5 linked regions of the Oryzias latipes genome follow. The protein of the gene in region 2 purifies or fractionates together with the protein of the main gene of each other region. This does not show direct contact. Links are inferred from orthologs where the notes say so. Each region holds a gene or a part of one and is shown on either strand. Other genes may lie near its edges.

Region 1 (6,430 bases), on a different chromosome or scaffold from region 2:
AATAAGCCACTGGAGGTAAAGAAAAAGATGAACCTGATCAACCTCACAGTATATATTATCCTGGAGATCCCCTTTCTTCTTCACATGTTATCATACAGACCATCACCTATTAAACACAAATATATTATGCAAACAGAGGAGATGGCACGTTATGTAGGGTTTCATGGGTTATAATTGGCTAAATGAGGTATAAAACAAAAAAATGCTCCGAAGCCCCATATCACTGTTTATTCTAGGTGTTTACCTCAAAGGGAGATTTCAGAGGTTCGACGCCTGTTTTCTGCTTGTCTGGTCTAATGAAAGGATCAAAAATTAAATTAAAAATAATTCAAAAAAGTGATATGCCCTTTTAAAAACCCATCATGGGAACGCAATGGGACTGATTTACATCCTTTGATGAACAGAAAAAGGAGCTTGTTCATTAATTTATGAACCCCACTGTGATGAAATGAAACAAGGTGCCAATTTCTAAGAAAAGCTTAAAAGGCAACTTTTAGAAGATGAACTTGTGAATTTGAGTTTGCAAAAACAAAAAAAAGCTAAACATTGTTGTCATTCAGTCGGCCTATACAGTTATTTTTACCATCAATGTAAAGTAAATTTCCACAATGTCTTATGTCTCTGTTTTCATTTAAAACTAGATAATTCACTGAATACCTCAGCTTTGTAACACAAAAACATCTGATTTTCTAAATCAATTATAATAATCTCTGCTCATGCTCTGCTCATGTGCATTTAACATAAAAACAAGAAACTTGATTTTGGTTTGATTTACCTTTATTTTCAAATACAAAATAAACACAATAAAGTGCTCAAAGAGGAGTGGCTAGAAGAAAAATATTATTACTTTCCACGCCCGATATGTTCGATTTTTTACGCAAACCCACATATTAAATATATAATAACTACTCACATAGACAATAATGAAATAATGAAAAATAATAAAAGAGGACCAAAATGTCATGAGGTTATGATTGAACCACATTTTCCCAATGGGCTTTTCATATTCTAACTGGATTTATTTTAATTGTGTAATATTCTTAATCATTCCTCCATGTTATTCCACAACTTCACCCAAAAGCAAAAATGCACATCGTTTTTTGTGTTGTCCTTACACAAGGTTGTTTGATGTCATTTTTCTTTCTGCAGTACAAAAGAAGTAAAGACCCATGAAATTAGGTTTACTCTGATTCTCGTATATACTAGCAGAAAACAGAAAGCCCAAACAAACAGGCATCACAAAATACCAGGTGTTGTGTTGTTGAAAAGAAAATATTTTCTACTCCAGATATTGTGTTTATCTCAACATAGTCAAGTTCTGGACTTGTAGAGACAAAAAGTGTCACATGTTACTTAGCAAAATGATGGAAAGAAACAATCCTGTAGCTGAAAACGTCATCATCAAGATTTCTATTTTATAAAACCTTCTAAAAACATTCAGAAATAACCTGCAAATATGTACACAAATAGAAGTTAGTTAAAAACATACATGATTGTTTTTTTAAAGGATATGATACAAAAATATGAATAGTTACATTAATAAAAATCAAATGATTTTCTCATTTGCAAAACAGTCATATATTATGAAAAATGAAAAATATCAGCAATCCACTGTTGAACCAATTGATTTTGTACTGTAGCCTAAATTAAAATGAAAACTTTTATTTTTAAATGTGTTCTTTAAAAGTTAATAATGTTTTGGGGCATTTTGTTTTGCTCTAAGTTTTATTTTGTTCGATAAGAGAAAATTGAAAAACAATGTATTCTGTTTTGATAAATGAAAGACATATAGAAGGCAATAGAACAGATTAGTGAATTCACATGAAAAGAAAGAAGACAATTTAATAGCGTCCTAAATTACTCCAATATGGTTGGCCTACCCGTTGACTTTATTCTTGTGCATATAATCATGTAAATTGAATGCTGGTTGTTAGGACTTGTCAGGACTGTATTACTCCAGCTAATTAAAATGTTCTTTCTTTTTTTATTTTAATTGTTTTATTTTCTACAGACCAGACAGATTTTTTCGTGTTTTTAATATATATTTTAAACTATATATGAATAATATTAATACATATACATGTATATATTGATATATATTAATACATATTTTAAACTACATGAACTATACTTTTATAGTTTTTCTTGTAGTTTTCATGAGTAGCTGCCCAGCCTGTTTGTTGTTTTTTGCTCTTGTATTTAAAAAAAATAGCACGAAAAACAAAACAAAAAAACTTCACGAAAAATACTAAAATATTATAAAGGAACATACTAAATGTTTTTTTTAAGAAATAGCCTATATTACGCCTTCATACCCCACAATTATCCTTTGTCTCTTAATGTGGGCAATCGTGCAGTGTCAAAAGAGAACAGTAGAGGGCGCTATCGCAAAGTGAACGCCTCAGTTGCTCTCGCGTTAGTTCCTTTGCTCCACCGGAGGCGACATCTAGTGAGGAGATGGCGTCCAGAGGGGGGTTTCAGTCTGCACCGACTGGTGGTGGTGGAGCTGTTGGACCTGGACAACCTGTACCCGGTGCTGGACCAGGCATGGGACCCGGGACTCCCACTGGAAGAATGGGTCCATCTTCGGCTGGTCAGAACCACATGTACCGATCTCCAATGCCTGGGCCTGGGTACCCGGTGAGTTATCACTCCATCTTTGCGTCAATGCTAGCCGGTCCGCTAGTAGAACAAAGCCACTCATCGCTGCTTTGTCGCCAATGGCTAACATTAACCCCCGTCCCCCTACAGGCCCAGTTCAATAGAACTTAAGAAACCCATTAAAAGTAATCGACTTTTAATAAATATTTTTTTCGAGCGCTCTGGCGGACTTTTATGAGTTTATCATGTTTGAATTTGCTAAACCTCCCGCTCGCTAACAGAAGGTTAGCTTACATGAAACTGTGCTACCTCGCCTGCTAACGCTAACTAGTAACTAGTTACTGTGTTACGCTCGTCGTAGTTCTCTAGTTACTGATTGTGTGGAGTTAACTGGCATATACAGATTGATTAAATCTATCAACTTTTATGAATACGTCTCGTTTTGACGGGATCCATTGATTTCCTCTGGGAAATCTGAAAGTAAAAAGTCCGCCTCTCAGGAACCGTACTCTGCGAAAACATCTGGCTGCTACCGTCATGTGAGTCTAAATTCAAATTTGCTGAAAGGTAATTTCCGAAAACCCGCTTGTATTTGTCGCGTCTCTCTTTGCTGACGTTTAAAAATTGGCATTTGATTTGACTTCTACTTAACGGAACCATTGAGTTTTTGGTCAGGTTTTAGGTGTAACTCCGCCGTCGAGAACTTCTACTTGTTAATAATACAACGCTTGGTAATGTTTTGCTATTAAAGTACACGCAACATAGTTTACTCATACATTGCAGTTGTTAAACTTAAAAAGGGGGGGGGGGGGGGGGCATGGTAAACTTAAAAGTCCACCCACCTACCTACCAACCTGAATTAATTTTTTTAAAATAAAGACATGCACCCAATTTTGAGAGGAGTCTTCATACTTTTAACCAATTACAAATGAGGTAAACTCAGAATTTACTTGAGGGCATGATAAATATTTTTAGAAATTGAAGATCTTAACCTTGAAAAACTTCAAAAAATGTTTTATTTTTATAAACTAGCAGGGAATGGAGAAGTATCTTATTTATAAATCTATCAAGATCGTTTGATTCTTAATTGATGGAAAGGTGGGTGGTGATGTCATTGTCTGTATAAGAGAACTGGACTGAGCGAGTCTGACGTCACCCGTAGAAAGAAAAAAAAAACGCCTTACTTTCAGCTCCAGCAAAATGAATCCATCAGTCGCTGTTAGATCTGCAGTACACTCATCCCCATGTTGGAGCCAGACCACCTAAGTAAACGGTGATGAGCCTGCGTCTGTAGGAGTCGACGCTTCTATGGCAACTCCTGTCGCCAATCAGGATTAAGCTTTTATCTTAGTCCACATCTCTGCCACTGAAAGCAGGCTCAGGAGAGTCTGTCAATTAAACATTTCAATCATTAGAGGCGGGGTTTACACACGTTCGAGCAGGTACTTCCTATTTGACATCCGGGGTGGGGGTGGGGGGTCACTTAGTCCAGTTCTATTAGGCGGGGATGTTTTGGTGGAAACAAATTGTGGAACTTGAGGGGAAAGTAACATGGCAGTGAAAAATGATGAGGGAAGTGAGCTGTTAGTGGCGGGCTAACATAAATTAAAATGGAACGTGGAAGTACAGCTAGCTAGTTTGGTGATTCAAATTTTAGTGTGGAGTAGTGTACGCAGCAACCTTTGTCACCGTTTTCAAGAAGTTTAACATTAATGCTAAAGATGTTTGTTGTGTTGAAACAGACTAAGAGAAAGAGTTTACATTTCTGCAGTTCTTTTAGGGTTTTAAAAGTGTCCTAGATGTTCAGACTTCATATTTACAATACCTAGACCAAATCCAAGTTCTTCCCCCACTTCTACTTCTCCCTACACCTACAGTTAGCCCTCCAAATGGAGTGTCATATAAAAATAGTCATTTAGACGTCACTCTGACTCGATGAGGTCATCAATCGTCGTCGGTCAGCCACGTTAGCGGGTGGCGATCAGAAGTAAATAACGTGGGTTTTAGAACATTAAAAAGCCATGCTAAAACAAAAAGTATTTACTTACATTTACGTGTAAACTTCTGTGCTTCAAGGCACACCCACTTGCAGAGATACGTTTCTCTTTTGCGGCACAGAACATGCGGAACACCTTTGCGTTGGAGGGCTCCGTATCCCTCCGCGCAGTGAAGGTTTTCCATTCCAAAAACTAACACCCCTACCCCCAAATGCCCCTACAATTGGAGGGAAAGAGAGAAGCTGGAGGGGTAGGGGAAGAATTTGGATTGAACCCTAGTGGGTTTATGTTGAAGTCTGTTTATCTAAAAGACTTTCGATGAAAAAATGTTTTTCACTAAGGCAGTGATTTGGCTACAGTTGTTTATTTTTGTGATTTAAAGACCAATCCCACTAAAGGATACTGTTGACTGTTCCATCTAGGCCTTCACGATAAATGGCAAATTTCTCGTTATCGCGATATCAAGCTGTGCAATCCGCATATAGCAAAAGACAGCGAAAATCGCAATAAATTGTTACTTTAAATGTGCTAAAACAATCTTATGACAGCTTGTAATTATTTAGCAAATCAAATAAATCTATTTATGGATGAAGCCTTTTTGTTAGAAGCTCGCCTCCCATGAAGACTAGTTTCATGTGGAAAATAATTTTAGTTATGTTGACTCTTATTTAAATTAAACCACAGTGAAATGCAAATGAGGATTTTGGTTGTTTTGCTATTTGTTCATAAATCGCAAGTTATATCGTCATTTCAATATTGATCACTAATATCGCATATCGTGAGTTTTCCTCATATCATGCAGCCCTAGTTGCATCTTTGTCAAACCTTTTGAGCTCTTTTTGTATTTTCACAAGCATTCAGTCACAAGAATTGCACACAAGTATAATGGCAGAATTTACTGCCATAATTGGTGAATGCTCTGAATTTCTCTACCGGTACAAGAAATATAAAAACAACACCAGGGTCTTTCTGTTACAAAACATTTTTATGTTCTTTGTGTTCCGGCTCCAACAGTAAAATGATCCTGAAGTACATTGTCTGTATTTGATTCCTAAATTGACTTTGACAAATCTGCAAGAACTTGAACATTTAAGAACGTCACTAAACTTGAAACAGCTCGGTGAAAAGATGTTACATCTTCTTTTTCTCTCCTGTATCCTTGGCAGCTCTCCCTCACACAGGCCTCCTTTCACAACACAATCTAAAAAGAGGCTTCATACTCTGAATATTAGAGATATCCACTTGTTCTTCAGCAGACCAAGGTCATACTGATCTACAGCGTAGAAAGCACTAAATGCTCGGCACAGTCCCTTTCTGCCTACACTGCACTGCATTGAAAAGGCAAGGACTGCTTTGTTGGAGTCGGTCCCTCTTCCTCTCTTCCACCACAGACTGAGTGTTGCTTTTATCTGCCTCACTTGTTGGACTGACTGCTGGAGGAAAACCTGCAATTAGTGGTCAATTTTTTTAAAACTCCTAATCTGCAATCATGCAGTCAAATACAAGAAGTCGCCTGTATGAGTTTTTAGCACATGGCTTGGTGAGTGGGATATCTTTGTTTTGTTTTTTTGTTAGTTAGGTCGGTTATAATTGCTAGCGTATCATAGTGTGTGAGTCATGATTTACTGTTATTATATTATTTTATTTTTTTCTGAATGTATTGTCGATTGGTAGGCGTTCATTTCTTTGTAACTTAACATTTTAAATATTGCATTTACAGAAAGCATGACTACCTGAATTAATGTTTTTCCCTTTTTCCTGCATTGTGTGAAATAAGCTGCACCTTTCAGAATGAAAAAAAAAACAATTAATTATTAAGATTTCTTGTTAAC
Region 2 (6,336 bases):
CAGTGCACAGATTTTGCGGACAGTTCTTTCGTCCTGCAACTTCGCTACAGATTTCTTTTCCACGCCAAGGACAACAATATCTTTGCCTCTGATTCCCACCTGATCAGACGGAAAAACAGAATTCAATGATGTTAAACAATACATTCAAAATAACAGAACATCTTACAAAAGAGATGGTAATGAATATTACAATTTCAAATCAACATTTAAAACTGTTTGGATATTTTACCTCAGGATCTGATTGCTGTTTGGAAGAATCTGATTTTTTTTTTATAAAGATCTCCGTTTAAATGTAACCCCTTGATGCCCATTGATGCAGCTTTGCATCAAACCACTAACATTACCATTATTTAGCATTAACTTGAAAGCAAAAACATTAGTGATTTGTTTCAGAGCCTTCTGATTCTATCCATCCTGGATCATGAATGAGGACATCAGAGAAAGGGCACATGTTGGAGGTTTTGGAGTTAACGTGAGAGAGGCCAGACTGAGATGGTTCAGACATGTCCAGAGGAAAGACAGTGAAAATATTGGTAGAAGGATGCTGAGGTGCCTGGCAAGATGTCTAAAGGAAAACCAGAAAAGAGGTTTATGGATGCAGTGACCAAAAACATGAAGGTAGCTGGTGTTAAAGGAGAGGATGCAAGAGACAGCGTTAGATGGAGGAAGATGGTTCACTGTGGTGACCACTGAAGGGAAAAGCTGGAAGGAAAAGAAGTAGCCAGGTGGTTAAGAACCAACTGCATTGAAGCTTACTTGATTTCAAGCCACTAAGTTGACAGTAACAGATGTATCTGTTTTATTTTATTTTTTTCTGCAACTGTTGATGATGCTTTTTATGACGTTTTATGCCTTTTTTCTGATGAGTTGTAGAACCAGACATATTAAGGAGCAGATACTATATACTTCATTATATATAAACAGTGTCATATACATACTGTAATATGAATAAATTGCCGAATAGTTAAGAAGAAGAAGAGAGGGATTCTGGGTAGCAGGATTATGACAAGTAAGTAAACTGCATCCCAAGACAGTTTCAAACGTCGTAATGTGTAATAGACATTTTGCCCTTGTTGTCTCCACAAACAAGTATGAAATTATACTTGTTTCTAGCAATTTGTGAAATGTTTACCCCGTGAAACATTATCGATTGTATTTTCCTTGCTCAATCAGAACCGAAAGTGTGTCGAGAGTGACACAGCGACAAAATGCTAACCAGTGGCACGTTTTCCCGTTTAAGCTAAAACTCATTTTACCATCCAAACTACAAAAAAGTCTAGTAAGCGGCCCAACAAAATGTTAAGTCGTAACCCGAACTTACATTGTTTACCAACAACGTTAATCAGAACACTTAATGAATTAGTATAACATTTCTATTAGCCGCTAACTAGCTAACACAGACACTGCCACCGTTATCCTTAGCATTAGTTTGTCCTGAAGACTTACCGCAGTGGAACCTTTCTTTACAGCTTCTTGTGCATACTCTACTTGAAAGAGATGGCCGTCTGGAGAAAAGACAGTAATAGCTCTATCATATCTTGCAGCCATCGTGTAGAAGGAAAATCAAACAGTGTGATGGTTTTTGCGAAATGAATCAGCTAGTTAGCTAGAGACGCACAAAAGATTTGCGCATGCGCCCGACCTCTGACCTGTTGGGATACCAAAAAGATTACACCGGACAAAAGTTTTGATTAAAACATACTTTTCTGCGAACACATGCACTGGTGCAAAGATAAATTGCATCATATTTAATTTTTAATGAATAAGTAACCATTCAGTAATGTTAGAATTTTTATCCATTAACTTTTATTTTCTGGTACATCTTGGCACTTAGATAATCCAGAATGGCCGATGTTGAAAAATATTTTAAAGAAAAAACAAATGACCACTTATTAGATCCACTACTATTTCTATGTCTAAAGTTACATTGTATTTTTAAATTATAGCAACATTTATTTTTTGTGAAGCAATGTTCATTGCTATCTGGCATTTTAGCATTCAGTTGGACCATTCCACTTCCTGAAATATGGGGAACCTACTTTTTAAAATCATGTCGAAATAGGATTACATTTAAATTTTAACTAATACATAAAAACAATTTGGATCATATTGTAGGGAAAATTAAATATCGTTTTGGTTCACATAAAAAAAACCTCAATATTAAAAATAATTGTAATTAATAAGACCCCCTCCCCCCCTACACGAACCGCTGAATTTAGAAACTGCATCGTTTTCAGTACGGCTAGTGGGATCTGAGTTCCACCGATTTGTCTTGAGTGCTAGCTTAGTTTTGACTTTTATGCTGTAGTTTACTTTCATCCCCTATTGTATCACCATGTCGGTGGCGTTTGCACCTCACAGGCAGCGGAAAGGTGATATAACAGCCGCTGGAATACAGAAGGTATTGCATCTCTTTTAGCGCGTCTCTTATGGAAGCTACCAGACGTTGTTAGCAGTTGAGATTGACAGTGTTCGTCCAAGTCTAACCGCGGACAGGTCGGGAACTATGTCACACGATCAGAGCGCGGAGAATACGAAACTCTCTTCAGTCGAGACGCCATGTTTACACGAAGCGGATTTAACAGACTGTTTGCTTAAATGATGAATGGAGGCCTGCAGGTTTGTTAGCAAACGAAAGCTAGCCAAGAAGACGAGTCTTTTGTTAGCGCACGCTCTCATCTCACAAACCCGCTTTCCTTTGTTTTGAAACTGCAACAATCTCACACCAAAAATCACAAAAATAGACCCCTACACCAACGACTCACATACTACCCAGCTCTTTGTTTATATTTATCAATTGATCACAGACGTCTTTTAAATGTTAGCTTTTATTTTTTGCAGTTACTTGATGAAAACAACCACCTGATCCAGTGTATAATGGACTTCCAGAGTAAAGGAAAAACAGCAGAATGTTCACAGTAAGTCCTTTAAAAGCCTTTGTGTTGAATGGGTTTCAGATCTGTTTGTTGAGTATAATAAATACTTGTCTTTTCCCCAGGTATCAACAGATGCTTCATAGAAATTTGGTGTACTTGGCCACGATAGCAGACTCTAATCAGAACATGCAGTCTCTCCTTCCTGCTGTGAGTACTCATCCTTGCCCATAGTTATTAGTCTGTCACTTTTTTAAACTGTACATTACGGTACATGCATATGATCCCCTGTGTACTTTAGGTGTCATAGCAGCAATGATAAAATACATATAAAGTCATACATGTATTTAATGAGAGATAAAAAAAGTTATGTTTAGATGAAAAGTAGATGAAAATAACTTTAGGCTGCACACTTATGTATTCTGGTTTATTAATGTATTTTTTGTGATGACTGTAACTACTTCACATGATCCAGCTCTTTTTAGGAATTCGACTGAGGATTTTTTAGTTTATTTTATAGTCTATTTTTTTTTTTTTTAAATAGAATAAAAGAACAAATTAAAATACGCAGAGACTTACTATTGTCACTTCTGTTTTAAAGACTAATTAATAGCTCTTCATGCTAGATCATTGCTAAGGGCAAAACATTAAAAGAGCAGACAGAAGTCTTAAAACAACCACAATAATAAATGTTTTCATTGTAAGAGATTAGGTCACTTGTGTTTTTACACCTCTGCATTTAACAGTTAAAACAAGTTTTTCAGCACTCCTGTATAACTTCTTTGTTTAATTACAGAAACACGTGTTGCTCTTTGCTATAAATTAGGGGTCAGTTTATGTATTTATCCAACAGAATATAAATTCAATTTACCAAACCAAGTCCACATTTGCATAGGAGTATTTGACTAGCGTGATGTATGCCCTTCAAGTTATTCTGGTTGTTTTGTTGATGAAACATCTTTGCTTTTAAAGCTCTCCGTCATACTGAAGTTCAGTCACTTAGACATTTTTTCTTTTCAATTATTAAAAAGGCTATTTGCTACATTCCTTTAATAAAGCCAGCAAGCATCTTTGATTTCATTAAAATTATATTTTAAAAGTAATTTTAAATATCTAGTTGTCTAATATCTACTTTCACCGTATTTAAGAAAGGTTAGAGATAGTTAGAGGGAAGGCAGTTACAGTCTGACTCTGTGAGCTAAAGAGTAACTTTGGTTCTCCTTTCCCAAAGATGCATTTTCATAAAGATTTATGAATTGTTTCTTACATGCCTTAAATTTTTGAAAAGTTTGTTTTTCTTTCTGTTTTTTTTTATGCATCCACATGGCATTGTATGTGGCCACAAGCACGTTTATTAAACGAGGTTGTTTTATTTGGCAGTTGGTCAATGTGTGCCTAAATGTCTTGCTAATCATACGCACATAAGTTTACTTTTACTTGATTTAGCTTTCTTTTTTTTGTTTCTTGTGATGATATGATTTTTCCCATTGATTGGTATATTTGTTCTTTTTTTTAATGCTTTCAGCCACCCACTCAAAACATGCCTATGGGCCCTGGTGGCATGACCCAAAGCGGACCTCCTCCCCAGCCCCCACATGGTCATAATATGCCCTCTGAGGGAATGGTCAGTGTTGGCCCCCCAGCCCCCCATATGCAGAGCCAGATGAATGGACAGATGCCTGGTAAGTCACTAACTCAATATGTCCTCCTCTGTCTTTCTTTCTTTTTCTTTTTTCTCTCCCAGTTTCTGTCTTGCTCAGGTTGCTTAGCAACACCGCAGAACCAAGAGGGAGGTCTTCTGCTAAAGGATGATGTCATTCGTTGGGGTGCTGTGATGGCCTTGAACTTGATTTTGACTTGATACCTTTTTTGTTTTCTTTTTAAGCACAAAAGTATACATAAATCTAAAAAATATACACGGGTATATATTTTATTGGAACTCTTTTTCTGGGTAAAGTTTAACAGATTTTATTGGGGATCAAGTCACTCTCCTAAAAATTACTCAACCATCTTTTTATACGAATTTGATGCTGTAAATATATAGCACATGTTTTCCGTGGACTTTTTTAACTAGTTAGAGAAAAGAACTGCATCCATCAGGGTTGCTTTAAAGGTTATGTGGAATCTCTTTCAAAGGCAAAGACTTCATTTTAAAGGCAGAAAGAGCTGTTTTACTTTAAAAATAGCTTTAAGAATTTGATCGATAACTATACAACTTTTTTCTGATACGCGTTTTAATTTTTTTACAATTGCAATCCAATCTTTTGTTTGCATATTAATGTGTTTAGACTTCCAGCAGATATTTATATCATCATAAACAAAATGATTTTTCCATCTACAGATTAGAAGAAGTTTCTGTAGTTCCTTCAGTGCATTTAAAACTGGCCTAAATTAGAAGATAAAGTAAACATAATTGCTAAAATGTTCATCCATCTGTAAGTTAAACTCGCAAGAACCTTTATGAAATCAAAAAATACAAACTCTAATTATTCCAAAGTTGTAGCATTCCACTAGAATTTTTAATGTAATACGGGAAAAATGGTCATTTCCATTAAGTTTTTATTAGAATAAATCAAACCAAAATCAGGCCACAGAAAAGTTATGTGTAAATTACTGTTTCACTCAATGTTCTTGACCTTCCATAACTATTTTGTGCTTCTTTTTTTTCTTTCAGGTCCTAATCACATGCCCATGCAAGGACCCGGTCCAGGCCCCAACCAGCCTCCAAACATGTCCAGTGGTTCCATGAACATGCCCCCCAGCAGTCATGGCTCCATGGGGGGTTACAATCATGCTGTCCCATCCTCTCAGGGGATGCCGGTTCAGAGCCAAATGAGTATGACCCAAGGCCAGCCAATGGGAAACTATGGACCTCGACCAAACATAAACATGCAGCCAAGTCAAGGTGAAGCAAGTTTTCCTGTCTTGCAATCCGTGGAGTTTTATTGATTTCTGTTGCGTCTTGCTGTGCGGGACTGGTGTTTGTGTATTAAGTTTAGCGCTGTTATCTATTATGGGTCTATTATAGGGAGATATCTAACTCATTTTGGGGTAATTCCAGGTCCGATGATGCATCAGCAGCCTCCGTCACAGCAGTACAACATGCCTCCAGGTAGTGGTGGACAGCACTACCAAGGACAACAGAACCCTATGGGTATGATGGGTCAGGTCAACCAGGGGAACCACGTCATGGGACAGAGGCCAATGCCCCCCTACAGACCCCCACAGCAAGGTATAAAGCTGTTAGTGGTCTTATGCATGGAAGTTTTGAAGTCCGATCTTCCCTGGAACCCTCCTCCTTCATCTCCCATTCTTTCTCTTCTCAATTTACCTTTCTTGTGGAGTTCACATACACCTTGATGCACCCTGAAGCATCAAGTCTTTTTAGATCCTAAGAGAACACGTCTCTCTAGAGCTCATGGCAGGGAGTCCATCCTCTCTACCCCACCCCCACATAAACCCA
Region 3 (5,741 bases), on a different chromosome or scaffold from region 2:
TCTGCAGAGCGGCAGGAGTTCTTTGCCTTTGAGTTGTGGCTCTGTTAGCGCGGAGCAGCCCTGCTTCCGCTAACAGTCGTCTGTTTACACGCTCTCCCGCTGACCGTCTGCACGCGGCCTCATGGGAATGGAGCAGAGCCTGGAGCTTGTGGCCCCGCCCAGCGTGTTTTCTACGTCACAAACACCATCTTTTTCAAACTGCATCTTGTGTCTACTCCTGAGTCAAAACCATTTGAATAAAGAAATACTCAGAGATGTCTTTTTTAATTTGAACTCTCTTTACATATGTGCTCCATCACGAGAAAAATGCCACAAGAATGTGTTAAAAAAAGAAAATTCGATTTTCATCTGAGTGGGTCTTTGGAGACTTTTTATCGGATCAGATGAAAATCATGTTTTGTTGGATTTTTCTCAGAATGGAGGACATTTTTTAAAGAATTTCTGATGAATCAGGAATAGATAACAACTAGCTGTAAAGCTGGATAACTACAATATTGCTCACAGTCTTTTTTTTTTTTTTGCTACACTAATGTTAGCTTGGTGTTGCGAGGAGCTGTAATCTAGCGGGAGAAAGTATAAACAAAGGAATGCTGGGATATCAACAGTCACTCGTCCTGAGCTGCAGAAACTACGTCTTAAAAATCGACAGGTATTTTGCAAAAACCGCTTGGAATGATGGAAATACAGATAGAGTGGGGCTTTAAAGTGAATTGCAAACATGAAGGGCCACCTGATGGTCAAGCATGAGCAGAAGAGTGCATTTAACGTTGACGTCGCCGGGCCTTTTGACCTGGAAACCATCCGTCTCCTGGGTGGTGGGCATTCTGTGCCACTGAAAGGGAAAAATATCCAATCTAATTAGGAATACAAATCAGAAAAGTCAACAAAAGAAAAGAAGAGTGTGGTGTTAACGTCCTTAAAACGTTACCTCCACTAAGTGATTGTCCGGCCCGTAGAGCTCCTTGTCCAGCTCGATCACCAGGCTTTTGAAGAAAGATGAGAACTTCCTCTTCTGCTTGCCGGGCTGCAAACACATGAAACACAGCACTGCGTGACTGCCGAGCGTTCCTGAGCTCCGCGGTGTCAGTCTGCAGCTGCATTGTTGGGCTCTGACCGCATCAGGGAAGAGGAACCAAACTGTTGAGTAGAAAAGGCTGTTGCAACCCGCCCGCCCCCCCCTTCCCCTCCGTCAAATCTGTTTGCTCAGCGTGGCCCCCTTTCATTTCTCCTCTGCCATCCGTTCTCTTTTGGCTGTCAGTCCACGCCGTGCTCCTACACATGCCTGGACCAGCGAGCAAGAGGGGGGGAACATTAGGAGCAAAAACAAAAAAACTGGGGGGCCACGGCTGACAGAGCGAGCTCAATTTTAGGAGGGAGGGGGTGTTTCGGTTGGAGGAATGCAAAAGGGCGATGGTTTCAAGCCGGCAGAAAGCATGAACTCCGGCGTATGGAGGCAGTTGTGGGGTGGGATGAGGAAAGCTGTAAACGCACATCTGGCCGCGAGGTCTGCGCCAAGGATGCGGGCCAACTGACGCTTTCAGAAACGCGAGCAGAGACCGGACCGCTCAAATAATGGCCAAAGAGCAAAAGAACACGAGTCTCTCACTTCCTCCAGGAGTTTGCCTTCCACTCTCAGCTCCCAGGAGGACACCTTCTCCGACTCCTCGCCCTCGGGCTTGCTTGGAGTGAAAGTGTTGGAAATGTAGATCCTCAGCTTGCGCTTTTGCTGCATCATAAAAAAGAAGCAAAAAGCTGATTTAGATTCATTCAAGAGCTTCAGGGTTTTGTCTTTCTTCCACCTATCCATCCAAAACGTTTGGCGTTTATCAGATCCATCGGAAGATCTGGGCTTTTGGTGTCTTTGACGTTTGGAGCCTCTTGTTCAGACTCGCAGGGAGCTTCGAAACATTTTCTGCTTTGCGTTTCTGAAATCAGTCACAACAGTTTCTTGACTGTTTGTGGATTTGTCTGGTTTTAATTTTCAAAACCTAAAATACCATTTGATAATGTTGCAATCAGGCACTTGAGACACTGCAAAACATTTCACTTCTTTAGCCAACAAAAACTCTTCGGCCTCGATTCTCCACACATCTTTGCTGCATTTATCCGACTTTGTCAGATGAATAAGTGAAGCTGCTCAAATATCAAATGTTTTGCGTCAAACCTGGTTTCATCCGTCTAAAGGCGGATCTGAACAGGGACAGGTTTGCTTCAGCACCTGCTCACAATGCAAAAGACATAAAGACTGATCACGTCCAACTAGTATGCCTGTTAATACCAAATCGATCATCTGTGATCTCACTAAGAAACATCAAATCACTCAATCGGTGCAGTCTTCCTCCGTTTATCGCAGCAGTTATGCTCTAATAGCAACAGAAGAAATCTGCAAATTTTCAACAATTATTATAGATGTTTTAACCCCTAACTACCCTATTTAAACACTTTTCTTAGACGTTTATGAACATTTTCACAGCTTTCTCTGTTGTTTAAACTCTCAAAGTTCAAATCTTCATATAAAATAAGCCCAGTGTTATAGAATGGAAACAAAGATCATCTTTGCGAGCTGAACGCATTCTGCATAGCGTGGAGGAGACTGATTGACATTGGTCTGCAGCCAATCAGAGCACAGAACACAAACTGCAAAAAAAAAGAAGAAAAAAATTGCGCTAAATCAATCCTGAAAACAGCGAAACTCTGAAAGGTTAGCAGCGAGGGACCACTCTACTTAAAGTTAAAGAAGAAAACGACAAAAAAAATTGTTCTACTAAAAGTGTCAGAACCCTCCACATCTTGTTTTTTCCTAAAATGGTTGTAGAAACATACCATAATGGGCTTCTTGATGGCCTCCTGAATCTCCATGCGCTTGCGAGCGATGGTTTGATCCAGTTTCCTTTCAAAAGCCAGGAGGTCCATGTAAGCCTGGGACTCGGGGACGAGGTCTCGGATCTGAAAGAACCAAACGTAAAAAGTCGTGATTCAAAACATCCAAAAGCAGGAAATAAATTGAATTCTTTCTGGGGGGGGGGGCCGTTGGTGTTAACGTACCCTCTGTGGCAAAACCTTGTCGGCCATTTTGCGTCTTTTGGCTCTAAACCGCACAGAGAGAAGGATCAACGTTTAGATTAGAAAAGGACTCAGAAAGCCTCAAACTTTTCATGTTTTCATGAGGAAAAAAGACACGCTGACACATGATTCAAGATCAAGTCCAAAAAGATTCGATTAGAGCTCATTTGTGGACAGCTTCACAGTTGGATAACAAAGTCTTGGCCTACATGTCCTCTTCTGAGGGACTTGTAGTTCCTCACCGCAGCTGAACTCATAAAAACGCACAAGAGCTAGTCTGTCTTCAACTAAAGGACACAGTTGATCGTCATTATAAACTCAGAAGATGCTTCCAGAACTGCAGCTTATTTTCCTCCAATTCTGAGAATGTCGTTAGAAAATAAACACGGCAGCACAACAGATTCATTGTAACATTTAGAAATGTGGCGTCACCGAACAGCTTCAAGTGTTTGGAGGCAAAGGCCGGTCAGGAGATCCTCATGCGTAGAATGAGGCTGTGTTTTGGGTCAAAACAATTATACCGTCCAGTTGTTTTAGAAGTAAAGACAAAAACTCTCATGGTGCATCATCGTCTTCAGCGTTTACCCTCGTCTGAGGCTTCCGAGCGCCTCTTGCTGCTGCTGCTGGTGGTGGAGAAAACGCTTTCTTGACGCGTCCATGCCTGGCCGCATGGGAAGGTTACCCCCACCGTAAGAGGGACCGGGCATCTGACTCCCCATTACCCCCATAGGACCCCCCATCCTGCTGGGTGGGATTCCAGGGCGCTGGATGAAAGAAGAACAGTTTGATGAACAAAAGGGAAAAGCAGTTGGCGTGTCGTGTCGTTTGACCCACGTGAGGCTGATCTCTATTGAGTTTGATCCATTCTGTCCATTTCTGGTAGAAACACAAACCTTCAGTCTAACTCAGAGCTGATTTGGATTTTAACATTGTTAAACAAAAGAAAAGTTACTTTGAATATGTCTAAATCTTTCTTATCGATAATTTATTACAATTAAAGCAATCATTTACACTTTTTTACATTTTTGTTTCCCACCTAAATAGCTTCAAAATAAACATAAAAAGAGAAGATTGGGGCTCTTTTCTTAAAATTAACTGTATGGTTTGATGTTAGTTGGATAAAAATAGACTGGACTAATTATGGCTTATTAACTTTTATAACTAAAAACACAATAATTATAGTTTACTAACTAAGAGTTTTCATCAATAATTGGAACAAACTTTTTTAAATATGTCAATCTGAACTACAATTTAACTTTACGAGTAAAGATAAATACTTTTACAATTGAACCTTCATAGAATTTTGTTTAAACAAATAAAAAGATGCATTTCCTGCGCTCTATTAAGCACAGCAATGAGGGCCTTTCGATTCTGCTTTGTTTTTTAGTCACGGCTTCTGCAGACCTTGCAGATATTGAGATGGCCATGAACTCATTTGTAATCAGAGTACACCAAGAGCACACGAGAGCGTGAGTCGGCGAGCCAAAGCTGAGCTGACTTCAGGTCACACCACAGGGAAACGGTTAAGGTTGCGACACGGCCTGGCAAAAGTCTGGACCTCAACCCAAATGAAACACTCCAAGGAAACAAGAGCTGTAACATTTCTTAAAAGCTGAAGCAAAGCTGCAGTGAGAAACGGGCCAAGATTCCAACACAAGGATGTGAGACACAAAAGGAAACATCTGCTTCAAATCCTACCACTAAATTCATACAGAAGATGGAGCATCTTCAGCTTTGCCCCACTTTATTTACAATTTGTTGGCTTATTTTATGGAAGAAAATAATCAGTTTGTATGTGATTGCCAAATGTCCTTGAGAACTCAATTTTGACTTTGAAGACCCATTCCAATGAAAATCATGTTTGTTTGATGTTTTTAACATGTTCTTGGAGGACATACATGAATTAAATGAAGCTTAAAATGGTGTTTTTGAGTGTTTCCTTTATTCAAATCATTGTGAATCAGGCATTTGGCTCAAATCTGTACGTCTGGATGGCCCCGACGTTGCTCGCCATTTTGTTACACCGAAAATATTATGTTGGGGTTGTAAGGAACTGTTGGTGGGCGGAGCTGTTGCCAGTGGAGTAAGCCTGCCACAATTTCCCATCATCCAGGTGTTTACACTCTCTCAACTGTTCCGCCCACAACTCGGACACACGTGTCTAATGAACCACTGCTGCTGTGCAGAAACTATTTCCTAAAAACTGGGATAATCATAATCAAAACTCCACTGGGAAGGTTTTTAAAGCAGATCCAACGAGGATCGAGTGGGACTTTAATATATTTATTCAAAGTTCTTTTACTGTCAAACAATCTTATTTCCTATATGAAAAGAAAATGTGCTTTGAAGACTGGACAGTGAGTAAGTTTGACATTTTATGAACCGTTCACAGAAAAACATACATCAGAACTTTGATGGTTCTAATTTGTAGGATACAATCGGGTCCAAATGAAGCCCAGATGGTGCTGGAACAGGGATGGTATAAGTGGTCTTTGGATAGATGGTGGTGATGATAAACTTCCTTTTGTTTTCTCTAACTGACAGGAGGCCAAGGGCACCCACGTGACCCCGTTCACACTTCAACAGAGTACATTTATTCACAAAGGCCAGAATATTTAAAACCTCTACCCCCAATTAATGTTCTCTGGTGCCACAATGACACGTTAAACCCATTTGAC
Region 4 (4,726 bases), on a different chromosome or scaffold from region 2:
TTTGCACACACAAAAAAGCAGAATTCAACTAAAGTGTTGTCTAAAAAGTCTAACTCCATACATTAAGTACATAAAGTTCTTAAAGTGCAAAAGCAAAATTAGTTAAAAGAAATAAAAGCTTGATTTTAAAAAGTTGTTTTTATGTTGAGCTGTTGAACTTTTATCTAAAGGGGGTTAAAAACAACAATTTCACTAAATAAACCCACAATTGTTTTTCCAGAAAGTCAATATTTTACCTTCAGAGTATAAGCTTAACTTGACTAATAACTAGGAATAATGTGAGATTTTGTTAGTCTGTTAAGAGCCGTGATGCAAAATATTTAAAATAAAACAAAAAGGGAAAATGTTAAGAAATTTGAGTCAATTAACCCTTGTGCTATCTTAGATGACCCCACCCTTACTTTAACGTGTTCTCCCTACCATGACGAAGGTGGATAAAGGTGGAAAGATTTCATGTAATCCATGGACACCAGTGAAGATCACAAATCATTGAAGAAAAAAGGTTCAGAGCACTGTCTAGTGGGTCTAGATGACCCAACTCCCAATGTTACAGTGCCTATGATAGCAAAAGGGTTAACTATTCATTAAGTACTTCAAGTTCTCAAGATGCAAAAGAAAATATGTCAAATGTAAAAAACACTTAAAAACTAAAATCTTGATTTATTAAAAATGTGTTTCCATGTTGAACTGAACCATCATCTTATTTTTCTTGGGGTTAAAAAGCAAAACTAAACCAAACTAGAGAGAGAAAAAATAAAAGAGACTGAAAAAAGCAAAACTTGACCAAGGACAGAAATAATCTTGAGTTTTTGTCTAGATGCAAAACATTTTAAAGTAATAATTTAAGAAAATTTCTGAAGAAAAATCACAAATTAGAGAACATTTTTGCAAAAACCAAATTCAGGTGCTGCTTTGACATTTAACACATTTAAATCAGATAACTTCATGAAATCAAAGCAGCTATCTGTATAAAAATAACACTGAACATTTTTAAAGCTTTTAGATTAGAAGTCCATACAGTCACTTCAACCTCATGCTATGCAATCGTTATTGTTTCAAAGTCAGATTAAAAATTTCCATGGCTTCTGTCAATCTCAAACTATCTATTCTAATGGCATGGAGTTTAAAAAGAATCCAGTTTTGATCATTTTTTGCTTTTTATGGGGCTTTTGTGGATCCTCCAAATTTAAGGTCAAACTGATCTAAACTGGAGAATAAAAGAAAGCAAACACCAACGTTTTCATAAAAGAAACAAGGTTTAATTTACAGTTTTACTAAATGTACATTTCTTTTTAAAAAGTGTCATTATACACAATAAATACAATACAAAATTAATCTGTAATACTATACTTCAAATTCTCTTCCGGTCTGTTTCTTCCTCTTTCTTTTTTTTTTTTTTACATTATTACTGTTCCTTTTTTCCCCTCATCTGGATGCTTGTGCTGCGTTTGGGTTTGAATTGTCCACCAGAGCTAGAATAAAAAACAGACGGGTGCACAGTGACGGAGCTGAGACAGACAGGAAACTGACCCGCGGGCGGAAACGTGTCCATCAGACATGACCGACCGACAGCAGAGGTGAGGCTGCGAAACAAGAACCCGGGAAATGTTTGAAGCAGAACAAAACTGATTTTCTATTTTTGCAATTCCACAGCAGGAGGGAAGGGTCCAAGATCTAAAACAATTTCATAATTCCATATTTCCTCAACACCTTTTGACGCCATCTGCATCTTCTTTTTTGCTAGTAAACGATGAGAAGTGAACCGTCAGGTTTACCACACGGTGGATTGCATTTACTGTGTGCCTCGGTAAGGCAGAAGTCTCTTTGTGATAAGACTATGCAAGACACAAGAGTTGTCGTATTTACTGATCTGTTCCAGGTGAAACTGCTGTCTGCTGTCGCCTTGGGAACGGTTCAAACAAGCTGCCCGATGCTCACCGGGGACGCCGTTTGTGGCCGGGACATCTGTGAACGGTGACTGCTGCTAAGGCCACATGGAAGGAATGTATAAATAGTGACAAGGAGAAGCGAAAATGACTGAACTTTGAAAAGGAAAAGCCTCGTTTGGGGAAAAAGGGAAAAAAAGGGGAGGGGCAAGGCGCCGGCGTTCGACTGTCCTGCTGGAACCTTTGTCTGTCAAATTCAAACTGCCCGGACAATTCAAATGGACAACACAGCTTGGCAGAATAGTACAGTGATACTATTTGACCCCCCCCCCGCCTACTTGTGACTATTGCCCGGCCTCCTGTCAACCCCCCCGTCAGTCCAGCCTGGGGCTGAGGGGCTGTTATCTGCTCTGAGTCTGGGGCACCAAGCTGCCATTGTGGCCACGACCGCCAACCTGAGGGTGCTGGGCCAAGGCGGATGATGAGGAGGCAGAGGAAGCGGGCGGGAGTGAGGGTCTGTGGGAGGAGGCGGCCAGGTCCCCCGCGCGCTGACTTTGGTGCTGATGGGGCCTGCTGCCGCCCCCTTTGATGTGACGGCCGGACGGCTCCTGCTGCAGGTTGAGGATGCTGTCGATGGCGCACTGCAGGTGCTCGTTCAGAGAGTCGTCCGGCGGGCTGCCGCTGGAGAAGCTGGCGTTGTCCATGTCGGGGGAGTCTGACTTGCAGCGTTTGGCAGGAAGCAGAGAGTCTCGAGGGTAGGAAGACTCTGGGGAGGGAGGCCCGGGGGCGTGCTGGTCCATTCTGAAAGTCCCTCCGGTCACGTGTTTGTTTTTCCCACCCAGCCGCTTGTATTTCCGCACCTCCACCTCTTGGTCCGCGCGACCTTCCTTGGCCCCCTCCCTGTCTAAGAGCAGGGGGTGATGATGGTGCTGCGTGGTTTTGATGCCATGGTTAAACACCTCATTCATTTTGTCCAGCCCCTGCACCGCCCCCCCAAAATGTCCAGCTTCGTGGCCAGACTCTGTGTGGGGGCGTGAAGCCTCCCTGTCTTTTTTGTCCGCCTTCACGCTGGCTATGACTGTCCGCTCTGAGGGGGGGGTGGAGGCCCCGTGCCTGGGGGGGGAGGGGGTTGCTCTGGGGTAGGACAAACCTTCATCTCCTCCACCTGGGACACCGGGTCTGACGCACGGGCTTACGTTTTCCCGGTAGGTTTTCCGCAGGGGAAGGCGGCACGTTGTCTGGGAGGGGGTGGGGGCGGAGGCGGGGTTGTGTTTGACTCCGCCCACACTGTGGTGATCCAGCGTCCCGTTCACCTGAGTGGAGGATGAGGAGGTGGACGACGGCCAGGAGTGAGAGGATGAAGAAGAGGAGGACGACGACAATGGGGCTCCACCTGAGGAAGCAGTTCCTCTCAGAGGGGGGTTGCTCTGAGTGGTCGTCATGGAAACCGAGAAGCCAGAGGAAGCTGTGCACGCGTGGGACTGAGTTCTGATCACCGTGGTGAGAGGGGATGATAAAGGGTGGGGCTTTGCATCTGCTGCAACAGCGGCTTCAGACTGGGTCGGAGCCTGAGGCGGGGGCGTGGCCTGATTGCTCGGCTGAGGTTGCAGCGTGTGCACCGGGTCCAGAGCGGTGTTGTGGACCACCTTACTGAAACCCGTCTGATCCTGCTTGATCTTCAGCTTCAAACCGATTCTCCTGCGAGCTTCGTAGGTCTTGATGGGCGGCTTGCTGGTTCGCTGAGGGAGAGCGACGTCGTCGTCGTCGTCTGCTTCCTGGGAGTTTGAGGATGCCGAGGGAAGCGAGGAGGAGGACGACGACGACGACAAGGTGGGAGCACGACTGAAGCTTTGGCTGACAGGATCAGAAGCGGGTTTGGCCGGAGCCACTGACGGACAGCTGGTAGACCAGGACACAGATGCCCCACCCCCACCATGCTTGATGACCAACTTGGTAGGGGGGAAAGGAGGCGTGGGAGTCGACGCCGGAACCGGAGCAGGAGCTTGAACAGGAGCGGAAGCAGATGCAGGCGGAGGATTTGGGGCGACGTTTAATGAAGGAGGCGCTGAAGCAGGGGCAACAGGTGCTTGGACAGGGGGGTCAATCGGGGCCACTCCACTCACTGAGGGGGGCTCCGTCGGCACAGAGACACTTTCCAACATTCGCACACTTGCCAAAAACTCCTCTGCAAGGAAACACACAAAGTACCATCAGCCATTACATAACTGCTGACCGACACAACAGGAGGAGGAGGAGCCAGCAGGCGTACCTGGTTTATCCTTGGCCATAGCCCTGTCCGAACTCAGGGCGATCTTCTCCTCCTGGATGAACATCCTGTCGATCATCACCATCTCTGCCGAGGGGCCCAGTCTCTGCTCGGGTTTAAATGCCGAAAGCGGTGGGTTCAAAATCAGTTCACCACAAACGGGGCGGCAGCAACAGCCAACAGCCAACAAGGCCAGTTTAGATACTTACTTTTGACTCTGCGAAGAGCAAGTGACGGTATTTGTCAACCATTGCCTGGGTCCTTTTTAGCAGCTGGCAGGAGACGTTCTCAAATTCCTCATCCACTACAAAGAAGCCCAAACGGTTAGGAAAACTGTGGAAGGCAATCTTAACAGTACATGTGGAGAACGCAGGATGTAAATAGCGTATGCAGTGGTTCCTCGTTACGCTCTAAAAAATAACCTGCCATAGATTAAAATCTGCAAAGTACAGTGGTCCCTCACGATTAGCTTTTTACAGTCTGACGGTTTTACAGATTTTTTTAGTGCAATGTTGTATGTTTTTTATTTAAACAGCCTGTGTGTGTTCTGCGTCCTGATTAGATGTAGACCTTG
Region 5 (6,516 bases), on a different chromosome or scaffold from region 2:
GTAACAAGTCTGCGAAGAACAGAATTGCTGTTTGCTTGTATGAGATAAATATGTATTTTACAGGGGAATTTACCTAATATTTCACTATAGATCAAATCATGTGGTTTCTTGGATTCTTTTAGGTTTTTTTTCCATTCTGTCTCTCACAGTTGAAGTGAAGCTATGATGAACATTACTGACCAAACTCAGCTGCTGAAGTAGGAGAGCTGGCACAGCTGGTTTCTGACTGAACACCTCTCTGCCTGCATGCTGATGTAACGTGAACACCATGATCGTTTTAAGATGATTACATTTCTAAAAACACTTCACCTTTTAGCACAAATCAAGATTATTTATTAACATGTTAAAAAATGAGATGAAGAACTCAAAGAAAGATAAAAAAAAATACCTTCCTGGGCTTCTCTGGAGTTGGAGGATCCTCCACTGCAGCCTCGATTTCACTGGCTGGAATCCAGGTGTCATAACTGCACAGTGGGAGGAAGAAAATTCCAATCCAATCACGCCGTTTGGAGAAAAACACAGGTAGACTGTTTCCTTTGTTGTCCAGAAATGTTAAGTAAGATACACAATGTGATAATCACTTTCTGTTTAAGACACACTGCAATTATTACCAAATGAGATCAGTGCAGAGCTTAGTTAGACGTGATACTTTAGTGTTTATGCAGGTAACGGCTCCAGTCATGGACTCAGATTAACTTCAAATGTAACAGAAGGAGTTTTCAGGTGCATTTCATGGAGGTACCGGCTCACGAGCATCAACAAAAAACCCAACCTGTCTGGAAAATATCCCCAGTGGAGGAGAACTTGTTTATCTCTCTTCATCACAGGACGCACCCATTCCTCTGAAAGATAAAAAAGGGGTTGGAGTTAGAATAGCATGTTGAAGAAGAAACATCCATCCAGCAGTCCAGTTCCAAGTCCTCACCTTCTTCTAGACTGGCAGGGATGGGAACCACAATATGGGAGCTGTTTGATTTGTCCTCCGCCACTGAGCCCTGCAAATCAGGAAAAGAGTGTAAATCATATGTATTCACAGGTTTAAACCCATAGGAGCCCTAAAAATGAAGCAACACCTACTTGAGGTGTATGGCATAACATTCACATGACAAACACACCTGATGCCTTTTGATGATGTCTTTCAGTTTCCCCAGCAGCTTTGGATCGATGTCAGAGCTCAGGTAGATGACTGGTCGTGACAGACAGTGGTTCTGGAAGGAGTACATTTAAAAAACACATGACCATTACAATGTAAATGCTGTTTTCCTCTCAGCATAACATCTCTGCTTCTGCAAATAAAGACACTGCACGAGCCCTGAAGTCCTTGGGTTGGACAACGAAAGTCACATCACAAAGATTTTGTCATTAAAATCCTGCTCCGATCATCTTCTGATGTATTTTCAAAGCGTTCCCAGCGGTCTTCTAATTATGATGATGCACCTTTTGGCCAAAATCTAAAAACAAGTGTCATTTTTTTAGGACATAGTTTCAGCAGAGCGGCAGGAGTTCATTAAAAATTTACATCTGAGTTGTAGGGAGTAAGCCTGCCTCTACTTCCCATCATCCCTTTGTTTACACTCTCTCCTGCTAGCTTTCAGCCCCTTATAGCCAAACCTAACATTATCAGTGCAACAAAAATGGTGAGCAACATCAGAGCTATCCAGCCATCCAGTTTTGATCCAGATTCCAGCTCAGGCGAGGAGAACAAAGACGTTCATGGGTCTATTTGTCTGCAGGTGGATGCATCAGAATGGAGCAAAGCAGGAAGATTTTGACCCAGCCAGCATATTTTCTACGTCACAAACAAGATCTTTTTCGAACTGCTTTTTTTTTTTTTGTATTTTACAAATATTGGAGTAAAGAAATATTCAATTTTAATCTCAATTTTCTTTATCTATGTGCTCCATCATCAGAAAAATGCCACAAGAACATGTAAAAAAACAACTACAACACAATTTTCATTGGAGTGGAACTTTAAAGAATAAACAAACTGGTTCTGCAAATATTCAAAAATTCTGAAGCCACCAAACAAAAACATGAAATCTCTCAATGTTTTTTTTATCATTAATTCAGACTTGCATAAAAAACAATAAACGTGGATCGTTTTTCTGAATATAAATACACATAAATAGTTTCATTCAAACTGAATCAAATCCTTAATTCTAAATTAAACCTAATTGTAAAAGGTAAATAATTGACAGTTTTTAATAATAATAATAATAATTTAGAGATTTGAAGATATTAGAAAATAAACACTTTTGCAAGTTGTGTAGAAGGTAACTATTCATGAAGAACGATTGCTGAAACAAACTCACCTGCACCAGAGATTTTTCAATCGTCATAAACATCTCAACGTTTCGGTCCATCCTCGATGGATTCTGGAAGTCAAACCTGCGCCTACCAGGAAATTAGACTGGAGTTACACACGAAACTCAAACCCGGCCAAAATCCAGTTGAGACCTTTGATTCTTCACTGGATTAACAGGTCTAATCCTCAAAACATCCGCTAGAAAGAAGCCCCTACCATCCTTGATCACTTTTGAACTTGTAGGCTGCAGCCAGGATGTGACACAGAGCCCCCCCAGACTTAAAGTCCAGAAAACATTTCATCTGCAGAAAGAGGGAAAATGCTTCAAATAATAGGTTACAGAGGACAAAAAGTGAAGCATCATTACATTGAGGAAGATGATGAGTATTGAGAAGCAAATACCGGCAGCTTGGTGAGTGGGGGGTTGCTGACATGTCTGCCAAACACCTCCTCTTGGAACTGCAGCAGCTGGACCACCAGGCTGGACAGAGACTTGTTGGTGGGAGGCTCAGCCTGGATGTACTGGACACAAAACGCAAAGTTAGGAATACACCAAACACTAAAACACAGCATTTCTGGTAGACATAGTTCTATGGCTGATATGCCGCATTCACGTAAACTCTGGAAATGTCAGTGCTTTTATTTTCACCCATGAAAAAGAGCTCTAATTAAAAACATCAATCATTCAAATATTTGTAAAAATAATAATAATAATAACAGTCTACTTCATGATTAGTACTTGAGAGGTCTTCGTCAAGTCAGAGCTCCTAGTTGAGGCCCGCCAGCTGTTATTCAAGACAGACGTGCCTCTGAGCCAACATCTGGATCTGCGCTGCTTCACCGTTAGCCGAGCAGCTAACTAGCCAGCTAGCAGGCTAAAGTCATGTATTTTCTTTATAGAAAACAAATCCGTCCACCGAGTAAGAGTCGCGCGCTGCCTTTGTGGCAGTTTATCTGCAGTCACGTGTATCCGCAGAACGCCTGAAGCGCGCGCTTGTGCTGCAGCTGTTTGCTCAGCATCCTTTTGTATCCCAAACAGCTGGACGCTGAGCGGCAGCAGCAGCAGCAGCAGCACCCTCCCTCCTCTCTTTGTCACTGCCTCTGCCCACTGGGTAAGTGCCCACATTTGAGGGTGAAAAGGAGAACTCTGTGAGCATGCGCACAAAAACAAGCCCACAGTACCTTTTTGTAATTCTTTCCCAACCAGACGCGGACATTATCAAACTGAGAAACGGTGTCAGATGCTTCGAAATATTTAACATTCGGGCCGCCGTCTTTCTTCCGCACCGCCATCTTTGCCTGCAGACAACTGTCGGTGTTGCGCGCCTCCTAGTGGACGCAGTTAGTCCCTGCAGCTGCTTGAACAAGTGTCCTGTAATGAATGCCCGCATCCAGCAGGTGGCGGAATGGTGTAGAGAATGTTGGCTTCCTTCCTTGTACATTTCCATTGTTAAAAAACAAAAACAGTGTATTGTTTATAAAAGCATTTCTCCTTTGCGTTGGTCATCCATACCTACTTTAGACTAAGTCTTCCCAACCTATGAAGCAGATCCCCCAGACTCAGGGTTTTCCAAAATAAATTAAACGTTTTTCCATAGTAGAATTTCTAGAATCTGTCTGATACAACAACTTTGATACCTCTCTTTAAGGTGGTGTCCCATCTCCCTCTGTCGCTTCAGTAGCAGTCCAAGTAGCAGGATCTATCTGGAAGTCCTTCATATCTCTTTTAAAAACATCTTTATATCTCAAGCGAGGTCGGAAAATTGGTCATTTGACATCTTCCAGGACACTGTGCAGAATGCAGCGAGGAAGGTGACTAATGGCAGAGATGAAGATGAAGAAACCTTCAAGCTGTGACATGTTAAACCACCTTTGGTCGTCCTGGGACTGATGAAGGGCCTCTCTTGTCCAGAAAGCATCTGGATCAGATGGGAAGCCTGGCTGATACGTCATAGATGGGTTGTGGGTGCAGGGGTTACCTTTTGAAATTGGGTCACCAGTGTCAAACGCCTGTGAAATCATAGGGCCCCAGCTCAATGTGTGATGACTGACCAGTAGCTTTGAATGCTTGCACGTCCTTTGGAATCAAACTAGAAACCAGGCTGAGCTTCTACCCATGTAACCTCTGCTAACCACAGTATATATGCTTGAACAAGTATAGTCTGAACAGTCACTTTCACCAAAGTAATCCCATTTTTAGACACATTCAGATTGTTCTTTTTTTACTGAAAATCTTGTTGTATGCATCTTTACGAATACTGTCCTCTGGTGCATTCTTGACAGTTTGAAAGACGTCCTCTAAAGAACACAAAACCACCATTAATGCACCTTTTGTATTATTTTATATGTTATATAATTACCCTATTTATCAAGAAAAATGGCAGCTGGTTTATATTTTGGGACCGTGACATGATTAGCTGTGTGAAAGTCGTCTGCTAAAAGGTCTGATAGGCCTCTAGGCATTGATGTCAATATGATGCATATCCATTGAAATAGCCACAATTAAGACATCTAACAGATGTGTCTGTGAAATGTTTTGCTCTGTACTAACAGAAAAATAAATCAGGACTTAAATGATCGGTTATATGAAAGCAGTAAGTGTCCTGTGGCAGTGTTTCCTTAAAAAACAGTACCTCCAAAAATGCTTAAGTTCCAAAGATTGTTTTTCTTTGAAACGACAGACAATACTTACAGCTCAGCTAAACCTTATAAGAAAAGTATTGAGTGATGTTAACATGATTGATGTTTTAACAATACTGTCTGTGTTTTTTTTATTACATTAAGGCAACAAAGTGGACATGATTCCACTTGTGCGTCGTTCACATCACAGAGGTCTTTAAAGAGTCGCCATTTCTTCATATCACAATATCTACACCATAAGTATAATTATTTTGTCAATTGTTTAGAAGTTGCACAAATCATAGCTGCAGTGAACTTGAAAAACTCTGACTTTTCACAATGTGAAGCTCATTAAATTGACAGTATCGTCCTTCTGGGATTTAAATAGCAGCCAGGATGAGATCCTTTTCTTCACCTTGAAAAAACATTTCCTTTGCTGTCCGAAACAACACATCAGTACACAAGTGTTCAAGGATGCTGTCCTCTTGTTTTTTCCTTTATTCTTCTTGGTCAGGTATGGAATCCTATTTAATGTAACAAGCTGCCAACATCCAAAACCAGATCAGACAGATGAAGATGCAGCAAAAATGCTTTTATGTTCTTCGTCTGAAATTGTTCTTTTCTACATAACTGCAGGACTCATACGGTTAAGATATGCTTATATTTAAGAGTCTTCATAGGGTCTGGTCACGACTCGTCCATCGTATCGGTGCAGGTCTTGATGTGATTGCTGCACATCCTAGTTATGCTTCATTAACACGGTGCTCAGTCAGACAGAAAAACAGCCGCTGCTCACTCACTACTCACAGCAACCCCTGGAGTTTGACACCTCTGGTGCAGGGTGTACCCTGCCTTTACTTTACAGTAGCTGGGATAGGCCCCAGCAACGCCATGACCCCAAACGGGAATAAATAGGTATAGAAAATGGATGAATGAATGAATGAATGAATGAATGAATGAATGAATGAATGAATGAATGGGATGGAGTAGGAATACCAGAGGTGAGTGTGGCTGAGCCCTCAAGGACAACATGTCGCAGCCTTCTTTTTAAAACTGCATTTGACTTTCTGGAGCAGAGAAATTTTGAAAAGCCAAGGCCAAAGCATATGGAGTGATACTTCTGCCACCACGTTGCACACAAAACTAAGTTCTAAGTTGCAAGTGAAAATATTAAATATTTGCTTTTCAATAATTTTTGATTCTGCTTTGAGATTTTTTTCTGCTTTCAATTTTTATTTGCTTTAAAAAACTTTTTTTTAGCTTTCAAAATTCTTTTTGCTTTCAAAAACGTTTTTTGCGTTTGCAAAATGCATGTTTTTGCGTGCGTTGTGTCAAATATCGCACTTTTCCTATCTTTGATTTTGCTGACTACTCTGAGCGCGACTTAGCGTGATAAAACTGCCACTATTGCCACCGCCAAAAGGTTTTTGCATGCGTTGTGTGTCATCTCACTTTGTTTCTATCTTTGATTTTGCTGAGTTAAGTTTCAGTTTGACATGACAAAGCTGCCATCAAACAGCTGCTGATTGGTCCAGATTCTAACCAATCAGGTGTCTCTGTCTCATATTGATGGTGCTTGGAGGCAGACAAGG

Evidence for each region.
Region 1: the proteins of ss18 (region 2) and smarcd1 purify together in Homo sapiens (affinity purification with mass spectrometry; 5 studies listed by BioGRID and IntAct, counting the BioPlex papers as one, with this or other methods). This does not show direct contact. The link is inferred for Oryzias latipes from reciprocal best matches to the Homo sapiens genes SS18 and SMARCD1.
Region 3: the proteins of ss18 (region 2) and SWI/SNF-related matrix-associated actin-dependent regulator of chromatin subfamily D member 2 purify together in Homo sapiens (affinity purification with mass spectrometry; 4 studies listed by BioGRID and IntAct, counting the BioPlex papers as one, with this or other methods). This does not show direct contact. The link is inferred for Oryzias latipes from reciprocal best matches to the Homo sapiens genes SS18 and SMARCD2.
Region 4: the proteins of ss18 (region 2) and bicra purify together in Homo sapiens (affinity purification with mass spectrometry; 3 studies listed by BioGRID and IntAct, counting the BioPlex papers as one, with this or other methods). This does not show direct contact. The link is inferred for Oryzias latipes from reciprocal best matches to the Homo sapiens genes SS18 and BICRA.
Region 5: the proteins of ss18 (region 2) and smarcc2 purify together in Homo sapiens (affinity purification with mass spectrometry; 3 studies listed by BioGRID and IntAct, counting the BioPlex papers as one, with this or other methods). This does not show direct contact. The link is inferred for Oryzias latipes from reciprocal best matches to the Homo sapiens genes SS18 and SMARCC2.

What each region holds. Positions count from the first base shown.
Region 1 is NC_019863.2:13,902,903-13,909,332, reverse strand, and holds the start of smarcd1 (SWI/SNF-related matrix-associated actin-dependent regulator of chromatin subfamily D member 1), read left to right. Parts: upstream 1-2,421; 5' UTR 2,422-2,457; coding exon 2,458-2,640; intron 2,641-6,430. UniProt on the Homo sapiens protein: Involved in transcriptional activation and repression of select genes by chromatin remodeling (alteration of DNA-nucleosome topology).
Region 2 is NC_019875.2:25,758,035-25,764,370, reverse strand, and holds the start of ss18 (protein SSXT), read left to right. Parts: upstream 1-2,207; 5' UTR 2,208-2,335; coding exon 2,336-2,401; intron 2,402-2,488; exon of another isoform or gene 2,489-2,598; coding exon of another isoform or gene 2,599-2,619; intron 2,620-2,841; coding exon 2,842-2,918; intron 2,919-2,998; coding exon 2,999-3,083; intron 3,084-4,398; coding exon 4,399-4,555; intron 4,556-5,547; coding exon 5,548-5,778; intron 5,779-5,934; coding exon 5,935-6,105; intron 6,106-6,336. Other genes in the region: psma8 (proteasome subunit alpha type-7-like), read right to left, coding at 1-99, 1,447-1,548. UniProt on the Homo sapiens protein: Appears to function synergistically with RBM14 as a transcriptional coactivator. Isoform 1 and isoform 2 function in nuclear receptor coactivation. Isoform 1 and isoform 2 function in general transcriptional coactivation.
Region 3 is NC_019877.2:6,914,882-6,920,622, forward strand, and holds part of SWI/SNF-related matrix-associated actin-dependent regulator of chromatin subfamily D member 2, read right to left. Parts: intron 3,828-5,741; coding exon 3,649-3,827; intron 3,089-3,648; coding exon 3,046-3,088; intron 2,947-3,045; coding exon 2,824-2,946; intron 1,727-2,823; coding exon 1,607-1,726; intron 1,025-1,606; coding exon 929-1,024; intron 833-928; coding exon 731-832; intron 1-730. UniProt on the Homo sapiens protein: Involved in transcriptional activation and repression of select genes by chromatin remodeling (alteration of DNA-nucleosome topology).
Region 4 is NC_019871.2:5,045,137-5,049,862, reverse strand, and holds the end of bicra (BRD4-interacting chromatin-remodeling complex-associated protein), read right to left. Parts: intron 4,457-4,726; coding exon 4,362-4,456; intron 4,277-4,361; coding exon 4,156-4,276; intron 4,072-4,155; coding exon 2,288-4,071; 3' UTR 1,238-2,287; downstream 1-1,237. UniProt on the Homo sapiens protein: Component of SWI/SNF chromatin remodeling subcomplex GBAF that carries out key enzymatic activities, changing chromatin structure by altering DNA-histone contacts within a nucleosome in an ATP-dependent manner.
Region 5 is NC_019863.2:4,303,497-4,310,012, forward strand, and holds the start of smarcc2 (SWI/SNF complex subunit SMARCC2), read right to left. Parts: upstream 3,634-6,516; 5' UTR 3,599-3,633; coding exon 3,488-3,598; intron 2,828-3,487; coding exon 2,708-2,827; intron 2,608-2,707; coding exon 2,522-2,607; intron 2,395-2,521; coding exon 2,313-2,394; intron 1,209-2,312; coding exon 1,116-1,208; intron 996-1,115; coding exon 926-995; intron 843-925; coding exon 773-842; intron 465-772; coding exon 389-464; intron 1-388. UniProt on the Homo sapiens protein: Involved in transcriptional activation and repression of select genes by chromatin remodeling (alteration of DNA-nucleosome topology).